Linked DNA regions of Arabidopsis thaliana. The protein of the gene in region 4 interacts with the protein of the main gene of each other region in a pairwise test. Each region holds a gene or a part of one and is shown on either strand. Other genes may lie near its edges. The genes, in order: AT4G31420, AT2G34140, TRY and AT1G36060.

Region 1 (6,899 bases), on a different chromosome or scaffold from region 4:
GATGAGAAAAAACGTTGCTGTGAGGAAGAACGATGCAGGTTTATGGGTACTTACTTGGAGCTTCGCAAACATGCTCAGTCAGAGCATCCGGATTCTCGTCCTTCAGAAATTGATCCAGCACGGAAGCTTGACTGGGAGAATTTCCAGCAGTCGTCTGAAATAATCGACGTGTTGAGCACAATTCACTCAGAAGTTCCAAGAGGAGTGGTTTTAGGGGACTATGTGATCGAATATGGAGATGATGACACAGGAGATGAATTTGAGGATGTTCCCAACAATGAAGGAAACTGGTGGACATCTTGTATTCTCTATCAAATGTTTGACAATATAAGGAATGCCAGGAATCGAAGAAGATCAAGAATGAGTGAGAGTAGGAGAGGGAGTCGCCGCTCTAGCTATGAGAATTCCAACTCTGATGACAGCTCAGTAGCATCCATAGAGTTTCCGGAGTATAGAGTAGATGAGATCGATGACGAGTTCATCAGCACAAGTGGAGCTAACAGAAGTAGCTCTATGCACCAAAGGTCAGAATAATCTATAGCTTTACACCACTAATTTTGTATTGTTGCTGTCTGCAGAGATATACATTCTTACTTTCATAGTTTATAATTATTCTGCATTGATATTAAAGGCTTACCAGTGAGCCTGGTTTTTAGGCACCTCTTGAATGACAAATTAGCTAATCAGGCCCCATTGTGTGATATTTCTGGCATAATAGCTTGGGGTGTTGACCTGGTTTAGTAGCTTTCTTGTGCTATATATGATGGTTACTTAAGAGACATTGCTTGATGCCTTGTTTTCTCTGATTTACAGTTCAAGAAGGCGTCGAACCCGCTTCTATGAAAATTAGGTATTAACCTTCTGTTTCTATGCTTTTGGTACTGTCTTCTTGTGAATCTGTAATGTTCCTTTTCGTTCTTTCTCAGTCAGCTGGAAAATGAAGCGAAGCAAATGATGCAGACCAGCCTATTTGTAGCCAGTGTTCTTGGTTTTGGACCTCTTTCTTCTTTTTCTTTTTGTTTCTACACATAAATTTTATTTTAGGTTTGTCTTGTGACATTACTCGCAGCAGTCGCAGCCTTTGTACAAAAACTAAACAAAAAGCCTTTTTGGGATATTGTAGTACCCTTTTGTCGTTGTCTCTTCTTTGTTTTACATGCATCTCTGGACAATGTAGATATTGAGAGTAAATCAGAAGTCAACGTTCGTGTATTAATTTTTAACATTTCTATTTCAGTGAACATACTCTTTTTAAAGCTTACTCTTATTACCAAGTAGCAACACAACTTGGTCAAAGACTCAAAAGTACATGAAATCATCATACAATCCAACACTTGAGAACAAGTGGCACATACACAGAAACTAATATGGGACGTTATTGGGCAAGTTTCTTATGACATTACTCTTCACTCCGATCTTGGTACGCATTGTCTCGCCTCTCTTGCTCATCTCCTTGCGCACTTTCATCCTCAAAGTCTCCTCTTTCGACGGTACTGTCTTCAGACCCAGGCTCTTGTACCTGAGAATTTACCATTTGTTGGAATAACCTTAGTTTACCTTGCCGATTATCTGATTGGATAGACTCGGATGATTAACGGGTTTGGAGAAAACAAACCTTGAAGATAAAGAGGCAATTATCTGGTTGCTGTCTTGAGAAGTTGGGCGTGGCTTCTGTCTGTAGTAACGCATGAATTCACGGGACCCGAGAGTTTTAGACGTTGTTGTGTTCTCGGACTTCTCCGTGATCAAGAGCTCAGAACCACCAACGAGTTCTACAGTATTGTCTGTTTCACCAGATACAACAATTTGCTTTCCAGCTTCATCAACATAGCTGCTCAATTCATATATTCCAAAGAAAGGTGCGGATTAAGATTTGGCATAGAACGAGGAATACAGGCGAGAACAAGAATAATCAGAGATAGAAGAGAGTTGAAACCTGCTGCTGTAGTCATAAAACTCTTCTAGCTCAGCATCTTCTTCATCATCACCATCACCATAATGCAGTTTGCAATGACTCTTTGCTTCCATATGTTTTCTTACAGCTTCTAAGCTGCTGAATGGACGGCACAGCTCATTGCAGTACAGACACATGAAGTCTCTCTTGACCTAAATGATGAGCAATGTATAAGTAAACAGGAGTAAGAATTTCAAAGCTTGACAACAACGAACACTGAATGGTAAATTGATGAGTCCAAACCTTAAGACCAAGGTAAGTGAGAAGCCCTTCAGGATCCTTGAGATACTCAATATCGGGAATAAAGAAACCATGATGCTTATGCATGTGAAGCATACAGCTCTCTAAGGTCTTATGTTTTTTGTCACACATCAAACAGCAGGTTGGATCCAGCTCATACTTATCTGCATCACCATCATCATCCATATCTTCAGCAGATCCAGACTCATTCACATTCAACTTAGACAAAGAATCAGAGGCTTCTTCAGCAGCCAATTCCTCGTCAGAATCAACCTCCACCCATTCATCTTCACTATCATCATCAATGGAACCCCTGTGTTGAACACGGCGAGGAAGTTGCCTGATAATCGCTATATCCTCCTCTCCGTTGATTGATGTCCCTTGTGAAACCCGCAAAACATGGCTACGCGACTGAAGATGCTGCTCATGAGCCTTGGAACTCCTGTAACCTTTAGCACAGATTGCACAAGTATAAAGCATAGGTGCTTCATTTGATTTATTCTTCTCCTGAGCAAGAGCAGATTGTCTAGCCTCAAACAAGGCTTCTGTAACTCCAGGAACTCCAGCCACCTAACATAAAAAATTACAGAAATACAAAGATTCAAATGCCTAGAAGTAACCAAATCTATGATTATTGAAATCCTTGTTCCTTAGTAGAATAAGCTTCAAAACAAATTTTCATATAAACTCTACGATTCCATAACCTTAACTAAACAATTTCGATAGCAAAATGGAAAAGCTGTTTCTCAGAAACTTTCATCTCATCACCGACGCAAGATTTTCCCGAGAAACAGATAGGCTTGAGTTCAAATTCGATAGAGAAAGCAGAAGAAATGAAACCTTGCGCTTGAGATTGTAGCGGTGCCAATCGGATTTGTAATGAAGGTTACGTTCTTCTTCGTCCTTGAACTCCATGTTACACGCGTTACATGTTAAACCAGGCATCTTCTCTCCTTCAATATCGATCGATTCTAGAAATGGAAACTGGAGAAGAAAAGAAAATCAGAGAAAAGATAGTTGGGAGGATAAGATTTGTTGTTGATATGTGTAGAGCAACGACGGCTCGTAAATGGATCGGCGATCGTGTTTGTCTCTAAAAAAGCGTCGATTGATGATGATTGATTGCCATCAAAATGAAAAGGAAGGCGCCCCGCCCATTTTAGATCCGATCGGGTTGGAACTGACCCGTTCCTGACCCGATACAAGAGTAGCCCATTTGGCCCATTCTTTTAGCCTTTTTGTAACACTGACACAGTTGACGAATTAAGTATTACTGTATGAGTAACCAAAAAACATTTTTCTAATATTGTTTTTAAAATAACTACTTACAACTTGATTAATTACTTCGTTTAATCATGTAACTTTTTTTTCTTCCAAATTCTAATCTCTCTATTAAATTACTGCATTTATAAGATCTAAACATCATGTGATATGTTCAAAATATGAAAAGAGAAGAATATAATACATGATTTTACTACGATTAATTTTTTTTAATCGCAATGTTTTGTTTTTGCCTAATTTTATTAGTGGAAGAAATTTTAACCGCAGGCCTGTAATTTAGGAAACTAACTATTCACCCCCAATTAAAAAAAAAAACAAGAAGACGACAAATAACGAGAAATTACCAATTTTTCCTCAACACTTTCATTATTTCCTACAACGAACTTCTCCCTCCTCCTCTCACTTTCACCATGGATTCCGTCTCCGGTTACGCCGCCGGAGCAGGTCAGCCTCGAGTCGGTGGGAAAATTGTTCGACCACGACGCACCGCTGTTGTCAGGACGCCGTGTGAGCGCCCCGTTCAGAGATCCCGAGATCCTCCTCAGCAAAACCCTAGTTGGATCTCCAGGCTCGTTTACAAACCCGCCAGCGTAATTGCTTCCGGCGCCGGAAAATTCATTTCTTCCGTCGTCTTCTCCGACTCTTCCTCATCTTCGGAGGAGGACGAGGATTCATCTTCAGGTTTGTACCATTTATTTCAGTTTAGATAGGATTAATTTGAATTTTTGGTTTATTGTCTGGTCGAATCTGAAAGCTACCGTTTCGTTTGAAATGTGAAGTTTGACTTAAAGCTTTCCCATTTTCTCTTTCCTTTAATATGTGGGACTTAAGAGCAGTTAAGCATTGTTGTACTCTATTTAGTTAGGTTACTTCTAAGCTATAAACTTCATACTAATTCTAAAGCTCTAATTTTTATTCATATAATGTAGTTCTGGGATTGAGAATACCAACCAGCTTTGTTGTGTCTTATTCTTTTAATGTATGGATTTTTATATGTTTTCTTCTTTGTTTGCAGATATTGATGGTGATGAGGATGTTGAGAAGAACAATCCCGATTTTACTGAAGAGGTACTAACCACCTTGTTCGTTTTGGTGATTGCTATGCCACTGTAGTCCTATGATAATTGTTTGAAGTAAAGTTCGTGAAGCTAACACGTTTTCAACTGAGAGTTTTTTTTATAAAAGCATAATTTCAGTTTTTGTGCTTGTGTGAATAGGACCTTCTGAGTGCCCAGCAACCAAGCATTCAACGACTCAGTTCTAAGCGTGTAATTGAGCAGCTTCTCTTGCAAGAAACATTTGCAAGGTATTTCTCTGCCTGGCTTTTTGGACATCATAAGTAGCAGCCTCCTCGACTATTCTTATTATTTACACCTCATAGCTTAAAGAATCTTTCTGAGACGTGTGTAGTTACCAAATCTAAGCTGATCTTGTATCCTGCTTATTCATTCATGTGTATGTTGTTTCAGGGAAGAGGGTGATAGGTTAATAGATATCATCAAGGCTAGGGTTGTAGATCATCCCAGCGTCCCCTCTGCTATTGAGACGAGTCATGATGACTATGGATTGACAAGCGGTATGTTACTGATGGTAGACTGTGCAAGTAGACCGGATTAGTCTATGTGATAACGTCTTCTTTTCTATTTTATTTCTAGACGTGAATGTGGGTGAAATGTCCAATACAGCTGTCATGGAAGCAAGAAAATGGTTGGAGGAGAAGAAATCAGGATCAAGTTCAAAGTATAAAGTAAGTTCTGGAAACTTGCTTCTTAACTGTTCTAATTGCTGCAGCCTGCAGGTATCAACTTTTTTGTGATATCTTGTCTCCGTGCTCTAAGCCATTATTATTATAGAAGGAGACATCTTCTGTTTGGGTAAAATGATTTGATTGTTATATGCCAATCCATGTGATCAGCAACTTAAAGCTCTCTTGCAAAAGTAGGTTGTTCAGAATTCTGCGTGTGGCCATCTGGTGACGTTAATTCTGAAATGTCCTGATTGGGAAATACCTTTTTGTCCGCTTAAAATGCAAAAGATCCATATTGTTGCTCTTCTTTTGACTATGAAGACCATTTACTTACATGATTTTGGTCAACTTCTGATAGCTTCGCTTCACAGTATTCTTTTTCCATTGTACTTTAAATGATGATCACCATCTCAGCCATTAGTTTAAATCTCCAGGCAACTGAAGATGGTGCTGGATCGCCTGTGGACGTGGCCAAGTCTTATATGCGAGCTCGTCTGCCATGGGGATCTCCAGCTGCGAATAATTTAGATTTTCGATCACCATCATCAGCAAGAGTGCAAGGGACACCCCTTCCTTATAGCGCTGGAAACTTTTCCTCATCCAAGGTTAGAATTTTAAGTTCTCCAGCAGTGCATACTTTTCTTTTGGTCAAATGTTGTTTGAAAGTCTGAAGTCGTTTCATCTTGGTTTATGAGATAAAATTCTCTGCTTAACTTCTATTGTTTATGTTAGATAACCACGAGGAATTTGTGGGACACTATTTCCAGCTATTCCTAAAGAAAAGTTGCATACCGTTATATGTATTTTCAATGGCTCTCTCAAATTTACCCTTATTCATTCTGACATTGGTTACCAAATGCAGCTGAAAAGGAAGTCCGGTTCTAATCAGTCATGGAATATTCAAGATGAAATTCGCAAAGTCAGAGCTAAAGCAACCGAGGAAATGCTTAAAAGTCCCAGTAGTGTAGCCTCTTTGGAACCTAAATACAGCCCCTATGTTTTAGCGACTGATATGCTCAAAGGAAATGCTTCGTCTTTGAATGCTGATGGAGGTGTTTTTTTTCTTTCTTTATTCACACGTGGAAGAAGTTTTTCAGTAAGACATGAGTTGAAACTGAAATTAACTCTTCTTTTCTGTTCTTTCAGCTGTACGGAATGAACAAAGCAGAGCTCTACCAAATTCAGCCATACCTACCTCTGAGCACAATCAGGTATCAAGCACTCTTTACACTATGTGTCTCTCATTACCAAGAAAAAACTTGCAGTTCCAATCTTTCTTGTTTTGGTGTCCTTGTGTGTTTTACTTGAGTGAAGACTACGGAAGCTAATCAAGCCGTCAAAGAAACAGGAGTTTTACACACTAGATCTCGTTAGTTTCTCCCTTAATCCTTAATTTGTATACACTCTCTCATCTTCGCTTTTTATACTCTGTCTCATGGATTTAATGTGTTCTGATTAGGTGGAGTTGGTTTGGAGGAGACATTTATCTCCACACAAGGAGTCAAGCCATCTGAAGATACGAATACCGCTCCTCAAAGGTTCTTTTTATTGTGCTTATCCTTCCAACACAGATTGTACCTTGTTTCTTTTTGACAGATATGTTTTTTAGTATATCAATCTTCTGAAGTTTTTCAACTGTATGCGACAGTGGAACTGCTGTAGATGACTTCAATGATC
Region 2 (5,784 bases), on a different chromosome or scaffold from region 4:
GACTGTGTAATTTTTATTTTTGAGGCTGTGGGAAAGTTTTGGATCAAACTTTGTTCTTGGTGTTTTTCTCTTTGTTTCTCCGTCTTTGTCTCCAAAAATTTTATTCACTCGCCGGCTTAGTTTTTGGAAGGGTTATTTCCTTTCCCGACATATGTAATCCACCGTTGTAATCCTTTAGTGAATTTTAGTGAAATATTTATTTCTAGTGAAAAAAAAGTAGTAGTGTATTACATGTTTTTATAAGATTTTTTGTTTGATATATATGTGTAGGGCGAGACTGCTTTGCTCGATGTAGTCCAGGGTATTACGAACGTTTTGAATGCTTCCATGACTGTATAACGAAAGGGTATGATGATGGAAACTGTGTTCCAGGGCCTAAAACGGGAAGATGTTGTTGCACCAGATGAATTATGTATTTTATTGACTTTTGTATTGTTGGTTCTTATATTTACTGAATAAAATGAATTCAAACATTTTATTTGTTCCATTGCCAAGTCCAGTCACATTATATAATCTAAATTGTTCCTTCAATCTAGTTTTTCTTGTGAAATTCTACAATCTGAATATTTGGATTTATTGTTAGTTCTTTTGAAAGTAAGGAATTCCTGTAAAAAATAAAAAGGTAAAGAAATAACCTAAACATATGCATTGTTGCATAACTTTTTGTGGTAAATATTAGCTACTAATTGCAAACGACGACAAAGAATAATATTACAAAATACAATGATTGATAGAATCTCAAAATAATACTCGTTGATACTCCATTTAGATCAAATAAAAATGATAATAGGAAAAAGATTTTATCGAAATGATACGTACCACACCGAGGGCACTGTAAAAGAGAAATCGTAGTCTCCCATCAATAGATCTATCAAGAAAGGAAACATAAAATCAACAGAATTAACTTAAGAGAAAAAAAAACAGAATCACCCAAAACATAATCAAAATCTAACCGGATACATCGGCACTTAGAATCAATGAACATATATAAATGCAACCAGTAATTTACCTTTGCCTTTGGCCCATGTCAGTGAATCTATACAGAAACTTCAAAAAATAAATAGTCCATAAAAGTTGCAGGAAAACTGAATCAGAGAAGAAAGGAAGCGAGAGGTGGAGGCTTTTTGTAGGAAGTAATAAGTTGCAGTTATTGAAAAGTGACTATTGATTTAGTGTATTTAAATATAAGAAATAAGTAATTAGGTTTCATCTTATATATATATATATATAGGTTTGATCTATTAACCATTTTTATGCTTAAAACATTAATGAAAATGGCAAATAACAACAAGTCTCTTTCACATGAATGCCAAAACATTAATCCACAATCTAAAAAAAGACTATTACAAATATGGAATAACACAACAACCGACTTATATAAGGTATTCCAACAAGTAATTGGAGAAATCTTGTTAACCATATGGAATTCTAAACACAAATGACAAATCTATCAAAATTTATTACACACGCCACTATACTAATGCATACGAATCCTAGGTCGATAATATTAATTAAATTGTTTAAAAAGAATCCTCTTGTATAGAGAGTAGTAAATTAAAGTAGTAATTGGATTCGATTGATTGACAAATGACAAATTAACTACTTTGCCAGCCTGTATGTACCCAATAGCAACCAAATTCACCACGTTCTTCAACGGGTTTAGAGGAAAACCACTCAACCCCAAAACCAAAACAAATTATTTTTTAAAAAAGAGAGTAAATAATTATAATCAGCACGATTGACCGTCGGAGTAACACCGGAGCCGCTTCATGGGAAAATCATGCCGGAAACTACCGTGAGCTGCGGCTGCGGCATGCTGCCACTCCTCAACGAGCAAGCCATTTATAAGCTCGACTTGGCGAACACCATTTCCATCTCCAAGCATACCAACCACGACACGACCAGGTGGTTTGGACTTCCGACGACCGGCGCCGACGGGAACGTTCCGGAGTGCACCACCGGCGGTCCAGTAACGGTGGCAGCCTTTACAAAAGTGTCGAGGCTGATTAACGTTGTAGTTGTTGAAGTAACAGAACTTTGTCTCCATGCTCTTGCATCTTGGACATGCTATGATCTTATCCGGACGCTTCTCGGCCGTCAGATCCGATGATGATGATGATCTAACGGCTATTGTGGCTTCTTGCTCCGGCGGGTGTGTCTCTTCTTCATTTTTTATTGTTCGAGTGTTAAATGCAATAGTTTTGCCAAAGAGTTTAATCCCTTGAGAATCTTGAGTCGCCATGAAAACGTGCAGAGAATGGAAAATAGCTTATCCAAAGTTTGTTGGGGGTAAGAAATAGAGAAGACGTCTTTTTATAGAAAGATGATAGTATAACTTTTTAGCAGGAATTGGAGAAGAAAAGTGACTGAATTAGTGGAGATTAAAATATTTATTTGTTAAAAACTTTTTAAAGCATGTAGTAATAGGCGCATTCATCGCTTTACTTTTGGGTCTTGAATTCACATCTACACGTAAAACACGAATGCCAATGCGGATCAAGCTACAAAGCTTTCTTTAAAAAGCTAATTATTTGAAAAGTGCAATTCGTAAGTAGTTACTGTAAAACCATACACGTTTTCCCTTTTTTTCGTCCACTTACTCTATAGAATAAATGAATACACATTAATTATTTCGTAACAATTTTAGACAAGCTAGTGGATGCTTGAACGTGATCCAACTAAAATAAGATTAAATTTACTTGAAAGAGATTCTATAAACATGATCCATCTATTCACATCCGAATTTGAGTCTATGTTCATGGATTATTAACGAATTAGAATTTCAGGGTTGTCGAAATTATAGATCTTTTTTTTGATTAACTAGTATCTAGATATAAAAATATGAAACAGATACTAAAAAATAATATTCTCTCCGTTTCACAATATAAGTTGTTTTAGCTAAAAACACACATATTAAGCATATTAACTTTTAAAAAGTTCAGCCAATCATAAAAGAGACTGTAAAATATAAATAATCATAAAGTATTAAAGTAATATATAACTTGCATAAAAACTTGAAAACAATTTATAGTGTGAAACAAAAAATTTGGTCTATAACAACTTATATTATAAAACGGAGGAAATATCCAAAACGAACAAGGCAGTAACTCATGAAAAGGAAAATGTCTTGTTCAGACTTTTTGCTCTCTAATATTTTACGAATTTGATAATGATTTCTCAGTGCACGAGTCACGAGTTCCATTTTTCTAAAACTTTAAATAATCTATTATCATTAGGTTTGAAATGCAACTCTCTAGATACCTAGGAGTCTTGCCCCGGCCCATACATATTTTCTTTTCAAAGAACATTTGGATGGATTTGTGCGTGTGTATGTGTTTAAACCCCCAATTAATACTGATCTTTAGGATTGACCTCATCGTTTTTTTTTGGAAATCAAGATTGAAATATTTATCTTTAGAATTTAGAATGGATGAACTATATACTGTATATATATATTTTAGATGTGATCTAACTTTTAAGACATAGCCGTCAAAAAAAGAAATGTTTGGTAATAAGTCAGTGTTAAAAAGAGGAAAAGAGAAAGGAGTATGAGCTTTTGAGACAGAGACATCGTTACTCATATTTCATATTTCTTCCTTTTGTCAGCTCTAAAGACTTCTTGTGGGTCCTCTTCACGGTAGCCTTCTCATAAGTATTCGAATTGTTTTAAATTTAATTACTAATATCTTATACACCATGTCTTGTCGCAAAGTGGCCAGATTGAAACTATATATAAATGGTAAAGTGGGTCGGACGAATGAGCTAAGTCTGATCAATTAATGATCCAATCTAGTGTCGATGGATTGACCATCTCAGCTATAATCTCACTCAAGTATCAACGACCATAAGTCCAGTCCTAGTATGATCCGGCTCGTCAGTGAAGTTCAAAATGGATCATAATTTTCTCATGCGTTGATATTCGATTGAAAGACGGAGTCTTTTGAATGGAACATTGAGGAAAGATAAAGCAAAGCAAAGTACTTTTCTGAAAATATGCCACTTTCAATTAACCTAATCCCATATTTGGTTGACGTATATAAAATATAAAAGTAAAACTAAGGAAAGTGTTAGAAATGAAAGGAGAAAAGAAGGAAGAAAAGTAAAAGAAAAAAAAGAGAACATTGTTTTTAACAAAAAGGAAAGAAAGTAAAAAAGAGAGCATTGATCGATGTTCATCTCTCTTTTTCTTTCTTTGAGTTTAATTTCATGTTCATCTCCCCTTTAAATTGTAGTATGAATTTTCATTGGTATCTTTCTAGTCATAAAGGAACCACTTTTACATGGTATGGAAAAAGGATAGTCTATTGTAAATTAATAAAAAGAAAAATCTTAGTGATTTCAGCTTTACCGATAATGCTTTTCTTTTCAAATTTACCAAATTTAAGTAACATCCAATACAAATATGCCATGACCGTTCTTTAACGAACGTACACATTCTATTAGAGTGTATATACTTGGTTTAGTTGTGGTTAAGTTTGGTTAGTAGTTTTGGTTTAGTTTACTTGTATTTAAGCTTAATCATGTATCACTTTTACACTTAATGAAGATTTCACGATTATTGAAAGAGATAAGTTGGAGAGTAATTTGCAAAAATAATTTGAGAAGTAGACACTTTTTTTAGAAATAGGAGGAATAGGTAGTTTTATCTCTCCTCTCTAATAGAACTCTCCTTCTAATACAGCTTTTAGTAAAGTACAATTTTACCCTTCTGTTGTTTTGATGAAATAAAATGGCCTGATTAAAAGCAACCCAATATCATCTCCAATTTTGGAATTGTTCATGGGCTTGACATTAATTAAAACTCATATTTTCTTAAGTCATTGAAACCAAACACACTCATGTTTTATCTGAATTTGATAATGTACAAAAATAATATAAAATAATAGTATACGACAATAATATTTAAAAATAAAACAACGATAGTGTACATGATATTCACGGTGTACATAAAATAATAAAATAATAAAATAGTAGATGACACCATATACAACTCTTTAAATCGTCTATCGTATTGTACACCGAATCTAGAGAACTATTTGGTGTACTTGAAAGTCTATGAGATAGTGTACAAACATCAGTATACAAAATGATGTACACCAGTAAATTGAAATAATAGGTTATATATATTCAAAAATATTGTACACTAAATCTATAAAATCGTGAATAATTTGGTGTATATGAAAGTTTTTGAGATAGTGTACAAATCCAGTGTACAAAATGATGTACACCAGTAAATTGAAATAATGGTTTATACATTCCCTATTAGTATACCCCAAATATTGTACGTTATGTCTACCAATTTCACACGTTATCATTTAAAATTGTGTACATCATTCTGTCACAAATCTCGTATATCATAATATTGTACACCAACATGTATACCATTAAGTTTAATTATATTAAATCATTTAAGAATTGTGTACACCATTCCGTCACCAATATCATGATTTTAATAGTGTACACCATTCCGTATTTCATGAAAAATTGTGTACACCATAGAATTTTCCGAAATTTCTTTTAATTGACAAAAGTGATATAATATACATTCCCTATTAGTATACCCCAAATATTGTACGTTATGTCTACCAATTTCACACGCTATCATTTAAAATTGTGTACATCATTCTGTCACAAATCTCGTATATCATAATATTGTACACCAACATGTATACCATTAAGTTTAATTATATTAAATTATTTAAGAATTGTATACATCATCCCGTCACCAATATCATGATTTTAATGGTGTACACTATTCCGTATTTCATGAAAAATTGTGTATAC
Region 3 (6,215 bases), on a different chromosome or scaffold from region 4:
TCTTAAAAGATGTTCTTTTTGGGTGAAAGTATGGATTATTTTGTCTCAAAAAAAGAATTATGTAAATATATACACATTTATATTGTATATATATATATATTTGTGTAAGAACTAATTTAAATGTCTCGTTTCACATTTTATCAGTAGAATCATATTTTACATCATGTTTGGGATGTGAGAAAATGTTTAATTGTTGTTATGCAACTATGCAAGGCAAGTCTGTGCACAAACTAATTTGGAATATGCAACTTAAACCACAATAAATTCGGATTTTACACAAACTAAGCTTATAATAAAATTATAGCCATGCTCATATTTTTTTGTAGATGTTGCATCCAATCTCAACATTTAGATGCAACATCGAATCATCCATGTTCAACATCAACATATTGTTGGGTTTAAAACTTTTGACTGTGAAACTTCGTGTGGCTGGTTTAGAGATCAACCAAACCCCAAAACTGATGGTGGTGAATATCCCTAGCTATTCAAATTGTAGTTTGTAGATATCCGATTTTTTTTTTTTTTCCGTCACTTTGTAGATATCCGAATTATCAATACATTCTCTGAAATGGATAGTCCTAACGCAGTGTATCCACTACTGGTGAACTTACAACTGGGCTGTAAAAACTGAAATTGGGCATTTTTTATCGGCCCATAGTTTTACCTTTACTTGTATTGGTCGAGTGACGTTGATAATCTGTCGTACCTTGTTAAATAATGGGCTAAAATAATTGGGACACTATTGGGCCTAAAAGCTTTAACTAAGATTGTGATTTGTGAGTTTATGTGAAACGACATATAGCTGAAGAATTGAATCGTTTGGTTCGTAATCATGAAAATCATATAATGGAAAATTCTATCCGTTAAATCCTGTCCATGAAAAGTTAGTTTTAGACGCAAACCGTCCGTTCATTAGTCGTTTACCAATGAGAATCACGTTTTTTAAATAGACGTTTAGGATGATCTCATATAGTACTTTTTATCGTGTTGGTAGAAAGTTTTCAAACTGATAATTTTTTGTATGAAAGGCAATACTATATATAGATTCTTTATTTCTTAAAACGTTTATAGAAAAATTAAGTTCATACTTCATACTTCATAGTCCTACATATATATAGCTAGTGCAAGCATGTAACACCTAATATTTAAGTGATTGTGAAAATAAGTGTTCATAACTTTTGGTTAGAATTGGATCGGGGTTTTTATTTTAGTTACATTTTTTTTAAAGTATAGATACATTATGTCATTAATTCTGTAATAATTTTTTTAAGTAGTTTCTTCAAAATATACTAGTCAACTATAACTAATGGAGTATTTCTTTTTTTTTTTTTACTATTTAAAATTATTGTCATTAGTTAAAATATTACCCAACCATTTTTGCACAAATGATCAGTTTCCTCTTGATAAGTTCTTTCAAAGGACTAAATCTAATACACAATTTTTTTTACTTTCTAATTACTGATGTATTAGAGAATATAAAATATATTAGAGAATATAAAATATAAAATGTTACTATATATAAAATTAAACTATAAAATATAAATGTATTAGAGAATGATACAATTTGTAAAACTTTTATATGTAATAAATAATTCTCAAATTTTTAAAATTACTACTTTAAAAATAAATCACGGGATGGGTAAAGAAATTACAGAACAGATTTTATTTTGGAATTGAGTTATATGGTGGATGTATTTGAATCAATATTTATAAATTTTTAAAATATTATTAATATGCTGTTTTAGTAAGGGTTAAAACTTCAGTTTTTTAACAATTGTCTCATGGATTCGTTGTATAGCGTTACTTAATAACAATTATAAACTGTAAAATAAAAATATTTTATAAAAATAAAATTTGCAAGTTTTAATATATATTAACTTTAAAAAGTAAATTATACCGCGATATACCGCGGATTAAAATCTAGTTGTGGATATAAAAGTCGTAGACGAGAAAATAAAAAAACCTAACCGCATGGATTAAAGTTGATTACCAAATGAAACCTATACTATAAAAATTATAAATGAAATAACAACAAAAAGAAAACAATAGATGATGAATTCTTCAAACTAACAAGAACCACTACTATACATCTATTATAATTTTTTTATTTTCTTTTTTCGTTGGCTTAAAAACAAAAACACTAGGAAGGATAGATAGAAAAGCGAGGACGGTGAGGCTTGGTATGTTTGTGGGAAGATGAGTGAAGCTGGCGTCGTTTATCAGCAAAGCCTTCACTGTTTCTCATTATCCAATATCTCTCTATCTCCTCTGGTTGTCTTCCAGGAACTCTTCCTGCTATCAAATCCCACCTAATTCAAAAGAAAAAAAAAAACATTTTTATCCCAAGCATTAGCATTTATATTTTCATAATAAAATATAATTTGTCAGTTCAAAAATTTCCATTTTTGAGCCAGCCAAGCATTTATATACATGAGTACGTACTGATAAGAATAGTAAATTAGGTTCTTATTTTTATCTCTATATATATGTGTGTACATATATAATTTAATGAACGTGATAGCTTTAATTAAATGTCTTTTTTTAGAAAATTAGTGGACACCATGTGCTTCCCCTACAACATGGTACACTGTACATATGTTATAAAGTACATATGCTTAAATTAACGTATGTAAAATTGTATATACCTGCATATTAAATTGTTTTAGCTAGACATGTCTAAAATATAAAATTTATTTTATGCTGGGATAATCTTAGAAAAAGTAGAAGAAGAAGAAATTGTTACCTATCACCGACAAGTCTGTACATTCGAAAGATGAGATCTTCTTCTTGTTCAGTCATGTTGATAAACTCCCATTCGATACTGCTCACTTCTGCAAATAACAATATTAAACCAATTAAACTCAAAACAATATTAAACTAACAAAAAAAGACAAATATAAACTTTTTAAAAAGATATTAATTTTTGTTAAAACTAGAAACTAATCTTGATAAGTCTTTTAGTCAGCACGAGGTGTAACTAATTTAGAAGTAATTAAACGTATCCCTCGTTTTAACGAATATATACAAAGAGAATATGATCCTAGCTAGGAACTAAATTTATTTTCAAGATGTTTAATAAAATTGGATTTAGGAAATAGAAAATATATAGAGAATAGAGAGGTACCTTCAGAGTCATGGAGGGCGATTTTGTGTTGCTTACGACGGCGACGACGGTCAGTGTTATCCATTACTATTGAAGTAAGAAAAGAAAAATAGAGAGAAATTAATGTGATGAAATTTTGAGTTTGGAGAATGTAAGGAAAAAAAGACGTGAGAGATGAGAGTTTATAGAGCGAACAAGAAGAAGAAGAGGGGAGGAGAGAGAAGGAAATGTCCAACGAACGGCCTTTGCAAAACTAATAGTAAGAAGTGTTGTGTGGTCTTGTTGACCTCTTACCCTTTGTGTAGACTTGTCGTTGACACTCAAATACACATGGAGATGAAGTCTTTTATTGGGATTTGTAAGTATTTTGAAGGCTAACTTTGTTCTCATTCGTAGATCCTAACAATTTTTTTTTTCCATTTATTCAATTTTTCTAAACCTACTATCTTTTTAGAATAATGGGATTTATTGATTTTTATTTGGCAGATGCAAGTTCAACGATGTTTTAGTTATTGATTTGTTGTTGTTCTTTCCATTTTTGTATTCAAGTCCAATTTGTATTTCTAAGAAAATTAGTTGTTATTAGGTTATTAGTTTTTCAAGTTTTTTTTTCAGGGTTGGACATACACACCAAACCGTACCGAATAAAAATTCTTGAACCAAAAATAAACTTATTTTTTTTTCCATATAGTAACAAATTAGTTTCACTATATACACTAAAATGAATCTAATTCGAACCTTAATCTAGTGCATGAAAATGAAACAAAATCTAATCGATCAAATTTATTAAAATTGTCCATTGTGTTTGTTATTAAACGCTATGTTTGAGCCAAAACACATACATATTTTGATAGTCATCATTGTCACTACAATTAGTTATTTTATTTTGATAGTTATTATAATGTAGGAATAAGTTAGATATCTTACAACTTTACTTAAAAGATAACGTCACCCAATATAAAACATGGGAATAATATTTATATCAATATATATAGAAAATACTTTTTAATATATTAATTAGATAGTTATTTATATTATTTTATTAATATTTTAAATAAACCAAACTAAAATTTATTTTAATTTAGAGAAATATTATTAAAATCGAAAAAACCAAACAAAACGGAAAATCGAAGGCCTATACCTAATATTCCCACTTAATATAGTACGTATGTTAATTAATTCATTAATCAACATGTTCATATTTTCATTCGTTATACAAGAAGTCTCATTCCCGATTGACTTTTCTTTCATCTCCACGAAGAGGTTGAAACAGAAATTTTTTGGCACAATAAAAAACATGATTCAGATTTTATCCCAAAATCACACAATGTTTTTAATATAATAATTCCACTTCTCCGAATAATTTAACATTTTAACCCCTGTTTTTTAATTCTACATTTGACATATGTTTTAATTCTAGAACAGTGACTAAGACATTACATACGACGCTGTATGGCAACTCCTTACACACGCGATTTAATGAGTGCTTCTGGAGAAATTCAATCTCTCACACATGATACAACCAAAATCCCTGATTTGCGTTTTCTTCGAAATATTTAAATCTATTATAAATCTGAATCGACCCATTAAACTAACGTATTTAATTCGAGTGAGAAACATCATATATAAAGTACGCTTCTCAATAAATTTTGTAAGAAAGTATACAATTACTATCATATTCTCACGAAAGAGATTTTCAAAATATAAAGTACCCTACCAGATAATTCATAATTGGATAAAAGATTAAACGGAAGAAATCTGTAGTCTACGGCGAAAGACATCGTGTGAGGCGAGTCATGTGATGTATATCGCATCATCCTCATTGCATAGAAACTGTGTATTATGTGATAGATTTGGAATTTTTTTAATAGGAAGCCTAGTTGGTAAAATATCTCTTTACTCGAAGCTTAAATACAATATAGCAATATAAATGATTTTCATAAACTTTTGATAAACAAATCAATTCGATATCGAAGAATGCATCAATGAAAATGTGTCTTTAGTTTGGAGCTAAAAGAACGAAATTGGTTTGCATAGCTAAACTAATGTCTAAAATTCTGGTACAAAAGGACAAAGATGTGATTACCTTTTCTATTATTTGATTATATCAACAACAACAAAGATGTGACATGTTGCCTCCTAGAAAGATTTTTCATAATAGCAATCACTATCCATTTCTCTTTCCACTTTAATTAAAATTAAAACTCTTGTACAAATTATTCTTTTTGGTTGAACAATAAATTTGATATTACACAAGAAAAGAAGATAGATTACTCGTAAAAGAACTGCTATTAAGGAATATTTTTGTAGTTAATAAGAAAGTTATAAGAGAAAGAAAAGAAATATTGAACCGATTTGAAACATGGTTGCAGCTGTTGGTAGATCAATTCAACTAACATTCTTAGGCCTAAATAAACATATATTTATTTGTAACGTATCGAATGATTACACATATTATACGAGTGCCCCCATACATGCATGTATATAGGAGTATTTTATATTTTATTAAACCTGGGTCATTAAAATATTAATTTAAACCCCACAAAGTAAAAGCTCGAATCAAATAATAAAACTTGTTGAACTGTAGATGTTTTGATTGGTTAACAACATTGTTGACAACATTTAAGGTGGTCCAATGAATGTTTCTGCTGCTTTCAGTTGGAAAAGCGTTATATACGAATTGAGTATATTCACTTAACCGCTTACACTCTTATGCAACATATGAGTATTTGCGGTTTTTAACAAGATGGAAAACGTGATATTTTAGAAGATGATAAGGTTTCTTCACTACATGACTATATATGAGTGAGTAGCCCCATCCACAAACAACATATGAAGTAAATTTATATTTGACTAACATTTAATAGGTCATAGAGTTATGAGAAATGAGGAGACGATGTAGTTTATTTCTTTTAGACTCGAATCGAATGAGGTGTGAAATTCCTTCTTCTTCTATTTTGTTCTATCGTATTTGTGAGTTGTTCTGGTTTTTTGGATCGATACGTTTTCATCCAGGGTAATTTTTTTTGTTGTTTTTGTATGAATGTTTGAATTTGATATATTGAGTTTTTGTTCTTATATTGATAATTTGTCATAGTTTGACATAGTTAAA
Region 4 (6,147 bases):
GTGAACCAAGGCTTTTAACTGTTCGACCTCATTATCTATTCATTCTCTTCCGCGTACTATCTTAACTTAAATGTAAAATTGGCAGTTCTCAGTGACCGAACATGTAAAGAGCTCAGAAGCAGGTCAACTGCAATCTTTACCTGGAGTTTTCTTCTTCTATGATCTCTCTCCAATCAAGGTGAGTGTATTTGTGTGTTTTAACTGCAGTTTTAGAGCGTATTTATAGTCATAATCCTAACTAAAATGTGTCGTTTCCGTAGGTAACATTTACGGAGGAACACATATCATTCTTGCACTTCTTGACGAATGTTTGCGCCATAGTTGGAGGTATCTCTCTAATCTCTATATACCATAACAACACTTGTTGGTTAACGCACATTAAAATCCGAAATGAAACATGTAAAAATGCGCAGGTGTCTTCACAGTGTCCGGGATAATAGACGCGTTTATATACCATGGTCAAAAAGCTATCAAGAAGAAGATGGAAATTGGTAAATTTAGCTAAATCCTTTAAGCCTTTTTGGGGTTTTCGTCTCTCTCTTTTTGTTTTGCGGATAATACGATTCATGCTCCAAATGTAATATGGTGTCATTTATTTAATTCTTTTTGTTAAGCTGACTATATAAAATATACATATTGATACGTTACACTCTTTTAATGCAAATTGAAGGATAAGTCTTGGGTTGTGTCAATCCAGCTGTTGACAGCCTCATGCGTGCGTTACAATTATCGTCTTTTGACTTTTTGTCTTTTGAAGATATTATGGGTTTTGAATCTGAAGTTAAGTCTTGAGTCTATCTTTGATTGTAGTGTATGGATTCAATGAATGGAAGAAAAAGAAGCAAAACAGTCTCCATAATAAACGCTTAGAGTACAGAGAATCATTATTAGTATTGACGAGAAAGTTGTTATTAGTGAATATATTAATTCCGATTGCAATATATGTTAGGTCTCGGTTAATACTCGGATTCGAAGAACTGAACCAGAACCTATCCGAAATATCGGTTTGGGTCTGTTTTGGATCCTCTAGAACATTTGATTGGGTCTTGTCTTCATATATTTTCGGTATTGGTTCAAAAAGGATAATACCTGATAAATTAACGGGAACTCGAATATATTTGAAGCCTAACTAAACTCATGATCTCCTTTAACCTATATTGCCTGGTTTGATTGGGAACATCGGGTTTTTCTTTTCGAGTAGTTTGGATAAATTTGAGTATAAAGTAACCAACTTGAACTGTATCCGATAATTTTCAATTCACCCATATCAACTATCCGAACTGATATGAACCCGAAGGTTACCAAACCAATCCCGAACAAAATTTTAAAATACCCAAATAGTACCTCGATTCCTAGTACGAAACCAAAATCCAAATACTCGAGTCGAACCCAAACCGGTACCCGAATGTGCAAGCCTAATATATGTGCATTCTCTCATTCCTTTGGCTTGGCAATTGGTTTCTATATTTGCATGGACACTTTTATCATCCAAGTCTTCCTTTCTCATTTGACAACGTTTGCTCGTAAAAAAAACTCACTTTGGTTACCATTGTTAAACACAAAAAAAGAAATCTAATCTTTTGTGTTAACTTAAAGACTTGATAATTGTTTTACTTTTTTTTTTACTTATTATCTATCACTCGGTCTATTCTAAAGAGAAAGCATGAGAATGTCGTCAACGTAGGCACTTTGTATGAGGTTATCTTTATACCACGTAAAGTTCAATCAAGGATCCTTTTCTTCCACTCTTGTGTTTCTCTTTTGACTTCTTCAAAATAGGACCAAAATTTATAATATTAAGCTAGAAATTTAGCAATTTAAATTTTAAGTTTTCACTATATTGTTCCCTTTTAGACTAATTTACTTTTTAATCATTTCTAAGCTAAGCACAATGGTCCTGTCGCAGAATGGAACTTCACGATTCTAATGTGTTACAATATATTCATAGTAGTAATACTAACCATATTCATTTCAATTAAGAGAAAAGAAGAAGGGTCTACATGGTACGGCATGAACAAAAAAGCTTGAGCTGTCCATAATTTACACACTTGCATTACATTCATACAAAATGCTAAATTACAAATTTTACGCACAGCTAATAACCCTAAAGTTTAAAAGAAAATACAAACAAGTTAAAATGAATAAAAATGAATTGAATCCTAATTTTTCACGATAAAATTGAAGCCCAATCTATCTCATAAGAAGGACACTTGCCGAGCATGAAATTTTCATTCCATGGCATCTCTGGCTCTTGGCACATCTCCTGCACCATAACATCCGAAGTCGGTGAACCCGACCCATCACTTTCACCCGACCCGGAATGTTGTTGTGGCGCTGACGGCTGCTCAGCTGAAGAAGCCGCGGCTTTAGCTCGTTTCCTCGACGTCCTCTCCGTTTTGCCCGGCTGATTCTTCGGCTCAGCTAATATGGCTTCTAGTTTAGCGTCTACGGCAGCTTGAATAGGACCATATTCGCCGGTATCAGACGGAGACGAGCCGGTTTGGTATCGGAGAGCTGGGAAGTTAAGCCGAGCCGAGTCACCACGAAGCTTAAACGCGGCGCGATCATAAGCCAACGCGGCTTCTTCAGCCGTGTCGAATGTTCCGAGCCAAAGTCGGGTTCGGTTCCTGGGTAAACGGATCTCCGCGACCCATTTTCCCCAATGTCTTTGCCTCACTCCTCTATAGAGCTTAGCCGGTTTTGAAACCGAACCCGAACTCGGACCCGGTTGGGTCATAAAACCCGGTTGGCTCGGCTCAATGAAGTTAAGCATGCAAGTGTTGTTGTCTTGGTGAGTGTAAGTGATAGTGTTTTGGTAATGGAACTGAGATTGGTAGTTTTCGGGTTGTTGAAGATCCGACCCGAATGAAGATGGATAGGTCATGGATCCAGAATAAATATCCGGGTAAGAGGTTGTGGAATGTGAAGGGAATAAAGATGCATGAGGATTATAGTAAGAAGAAGAAGAAAATAGGTCGTTTGGGGCAGACGCAAACGCATCGTTTGAGGACGCAAACGCAGGATTTGAAGCAGACGTGGAAGCACTTTTGTAAAAAGGTTGAAGTGCTTCCATAAGCTCGCCGCCGTGGCCACCACCGAAGAGATCCGCCATCGGAGTTTCCTGAAATACAAAAAAAAATGTACTACAAAAAACAAGATTATATAAAATTATAATTAAAAAATGGTTGAAGAAATAAAACCTGTCTTTTTAGAAAAAATTCAAAGACTGGTTTTTTGGTTTATACAGAAATAAAAGTGATCAACGAGGTTTGAAATAAGCAACCTCCATAGATCAAAACTAAAATAAATTTATCAACAAAAAAAGAAATAAAATAAGAGGATCAAAACTTGAGGGAACTAAAAAATGCCCATGAAGTTGATCAACTCTATAAAAGAATGAAAGAATATTAATTGACAGAAAAAATCATAATATTTTTGATGGATATCGTTTTCTTGAAAACACTTTTCAAATACAATTTTAAACAAAAGTTTGTCGTTTTAGATGAGTTTTGGCAAAATATAAACTCATAAAGCAACACTTCATAAGAAAATCGTGATTTGTGTTTTCTCAAGAAAGACGACTGATGAATAGACAGGACATGGAAGAGTTTTTTTCTTTTGGTTTGAAGATGAAACGAAGCAAAGAAAGCAAGAAGAGAATAAACCCTAATTTCACTCAAATTTTAATCTCTCAATTTTTTTTTTCTTCTCTCACTCACACTCACTCTCTCTCACACACACAAACACTCTCTCTTTTGGAAGATGCTCTCAACCTCACCTTGGTAATACCCACCCAACTCTCACCGTTTATATAGAGGGCTTGTTCAATGAAGATAGATTAAAATATTGTTTGTACATCAATAATCCTAAAATAATGTACTTGACTTTTAAAAAAACGTATTTGACTTTAAAAAAATGTATTTGACTCCCACTATATAAGATACATATTTGATCCAAATATATATAAAAAAAGAAGTATAAAAAATAATTGAATAAAAACTGAATATAAATGTTGTAACTAGTGAAATGTTTCGAAGAATAGTTATGAATCCCTTGTTCAAAAAGTCGGCTGATCGGATAGAGTCTACCGCAATTTTGTCCAAATCGAAAAGATTAATCGTTGATCTGATTTATTCATCATAGATCCGCTTAAACCTGTCTAGAGGATGCCTAGTCCAAAACTTTTTTTTCATTTTTTTTTATTTTTTAAGATAAACATTTAAAAATATCCAACTTTTTAAATATCCAAATTTAAAACATCAAACTTATGTTCTAATTTGTATGAAAAAATCATAAATTTGAACTTAAAATCTTGTTTTCATGTGTTTAATACAATTCTAAAAACAATGTTATATAATTCTCTTAATTGTAATGGAGGAATATGTTTTAAAAATATTAAATAACCCTAAACTTAATTTCCGATTAATTTTCGTATAATCTCTGATTTTTTTGTTAGGTGATAGACCTATCCTCATCGTTCGACTAGCGCCTAACGATTTTTTGAGCAAGGATTATGACAAAGTGTTTTGGGTCAAAACCCACATAAACATTTATACGGTTGAATTTGTTCTTCTTGGTAGCGAGTACGGACGAACTACGGAGTACTGTGGGCAGAGCTGTTCTAGACAGAAGCATATCAAATATGAACTTGCGGACTTGCGTAAGCATAAGTACAACGGTTATTTTGGAAACAAATCAATACTTGAATTGGTTATATTGTTTGATGATAATTATTGTAGAGTTTGAATATTAACATTCGCACGACACTTGGACTCGTACGTGGAGACTGAAGATTCCATGCAGAGCAGAAGTTAAAGGTGCATTTGTTCTTAGCCAAAGAAACCAGGTCACATGTCCTTAGTGCCACAATTCGCATTTTTTGCCATTTTTGCGGTGTTTACGTTTTTTCCTTCTTTTTGCAACAGTCGTTGAAAATTAGTTGAGAAAAAAAGTGTTAACATCCTTCTGAGATCGATTAGTACTTCTACTATACCATTAAGTTACTATGCTTATACAAATAGATTTATCGAAAAACATTTAAGACCAATTGTTATGCAAGTATATTCAATTTTTATTATACTCCTTCCGTTTCACTTTAAGATGTTTTAGAGAAATTATTTTGTTTTATTAAGTGATATTTTCAAATTTCTACGCAAAAATATAAATATATTTGAAATGTTAAGAAAAATTATTGTTATAATAAAAATGTTTGAAATATATACTTCTAAATGTTTTGCATTTGAATTTTCTCCGAACTTAAATGGATGATGTTATGAGTAAAATGAAAGAGTGGCTTCATAAAATTACCACTAACACACTTCATTAACAAAAAAACGTTTTCTAAAATAGTGTTTTCTCTTTTCAATTCAGTAATTTTGTTGAAACTAAATTTGACAATTTTAGCATCTTAATAATGCTCGAAACCTCCAACCGTCAACAAATACCGTTGGAACAATAACAGTGATATAATTAAGTGATAATTTAATTTAATGATGAAATAATACCTTCTTCAATAAGTGATTTAAGTGATAATTAAGTTGCAAGATAGAAGAGCCACGTGAGAACGAAAGCATCACGTGATCTCAGGCGCAATTTGCTGCAAGTGGGAAATTGGACTTTACGTTGGCGTCGCCTCGAAATTAAGACTCACGCGTGTGATTTTTTGTCCCAATTAATCTCTCTTTTCTTTTGCTTACACACCATTTTTAACCTAAAACATCAATAATAGTACAATTCACAAATCTTATATTTACGGACGGTTGCGGTGCTAACTTTTAAAATCAATAATAGACATTTCAAAAGTTTCGGACCATTCTAAACCATTCAAATCGATGAATTTTAAAAGTTCTTTTTTGTAAACATTTGCGATTATAGACAGTTAGCAAAAAAGAAAAAGAACAAAAAAAAGTCATTTAAACAACAAATAAATAAATATTATCAAATCATATATATATTAATGTTCATTCTCAAAATTTTAAATACTTTTTCCTACTAATATCAGTGTATCAATCCCAACTGAAGAAAGATAATAAATAAAAGTAGTATTGTAATAATATTGTCAATTTGGAAGATTTATGAATTAGTTTGTCATATTTCTATGAAATTTACAAATAGAGCTGTGCTTATAAAAAAGAGGCGGATGCCTCA

What was found.
Region 1: the proteins of AT1G36060 (region 4) and AT4G31420 interact in a two-hybrid assay, tested with the Arabidopsis thaliana proteins (one large-scale study listed by BioGRID).
Region 2: the proteins of AT1G36060 (region 4) and AT2G34140 interact in a two-hybrid assay, tested with the Arabidopsis thaliana proteins (one large-scale study listed by BioGRID).
Region 3: the proteins of AT1G36060 (region 4) and TRY interact in a two-hybrid assay, tested with the Arabidopsis thaliana proteins (one large-scale study listed by BioGRID).

Annotation. Positions count from the first base shown.
Region 1 is NC_003075.7:15,244,625-15,251,523, forward strand, and holds AT4G31420 (Zinc finger protein 622), read right to left. Parts: upstream 3,435-6,899; 5' UTR 3,140-3,434; coding exon 3,035-3,139; intron 2,765-3,034; coding exon 2,198-2,764; intron 2,107-2,197; coding exon 1,937-2,106; intron 1,835-1,936; coding exon 1,616-1,834; intron 1,520-1,615; coding exon 1,363-1,519; 3' UTR 1,192-1,362; downstream 1-1,191. Other genes in the region: AT4G31410 (E3 ubiquitin-protein ligase, putative (DUF1644)), read left to right, coding at 1-524, 814-850; AT4G31430 (flocculation protein), read left to right, coding at 3,886-4,156, 4,491-4,543, 4,693-4,781, 4,945-5,051, 5,131-5,222, 5,657-5,827, 6,085-6,274, 6,369-6,433 and 3 more. UniProt on the Arabidopsis thaliana protein: Pre-60S-associated factor involved in the cytoplasmic maturation of the 60S subunit. Involved in the dissociation and recycling of other late pre-60S factors before newly synthesized large ribosomal subunits enter translation.
Region 2 is NC_003071.7:14,412,459-14,418,242, forward strand, and holds AT2G34140 (Dof-type zinc finger DNA-binding family protein), read right to left. Parts: upstream 2,331-5,784; 5' UTR 2,243-2,330; coding exon 1,730-2,242; 3' UTR 1,236-1,729; downstream 1-1,235. UniProt on the Arabidopsis thaliana protein: Transcription factor that binds specifically to a 5'-AA[AG]G-3' consensus core sequence. Transcriptional repressor of 'CONSTANS' expression. Regulates a photoperiodic flowering response.
Region 3 is NC_003076.8:21,579,886-21,586,100, reverse strand, and holds TRY (Homeodomain-like superfamily protein), read right to left. Parts: upstream 3,488-6,215; 5' UTR 3,189-3,487; coding exon 3,125-3,188; intron 2,832-3,124; coding exon 2,744-2,831; intron 2,310-2,743; coding exon 2,141-2,309; 3' UTR 1,858-2,140; downstream 1-1,857. UniProt on the Arabidopsis thaliana protein: Transcription factor. Involved in epidermal cell fate specification. Negative regulator of trichome development, including endoreplication, by lateral inhibition involving intercellular interactions.
Region 4 is NC_003070.9:13,452,551-13,458,697, forward strand, and holds AT1G36060 (Integrase-type DNA-binding superfamily protein), read right to left. Parts: upstream 3,787-6,147; 5' UTR 3,113-3,786; coding exon 2,168-3,112; 3' UTR 1,946-2,167; downstream 1-1,945. Other genes in the region: AT1G36050 (Endoplasmic reticulum vesicle transporter protein), read left to right, coding at 86-178, 261-327, 414-491, 811-1,133.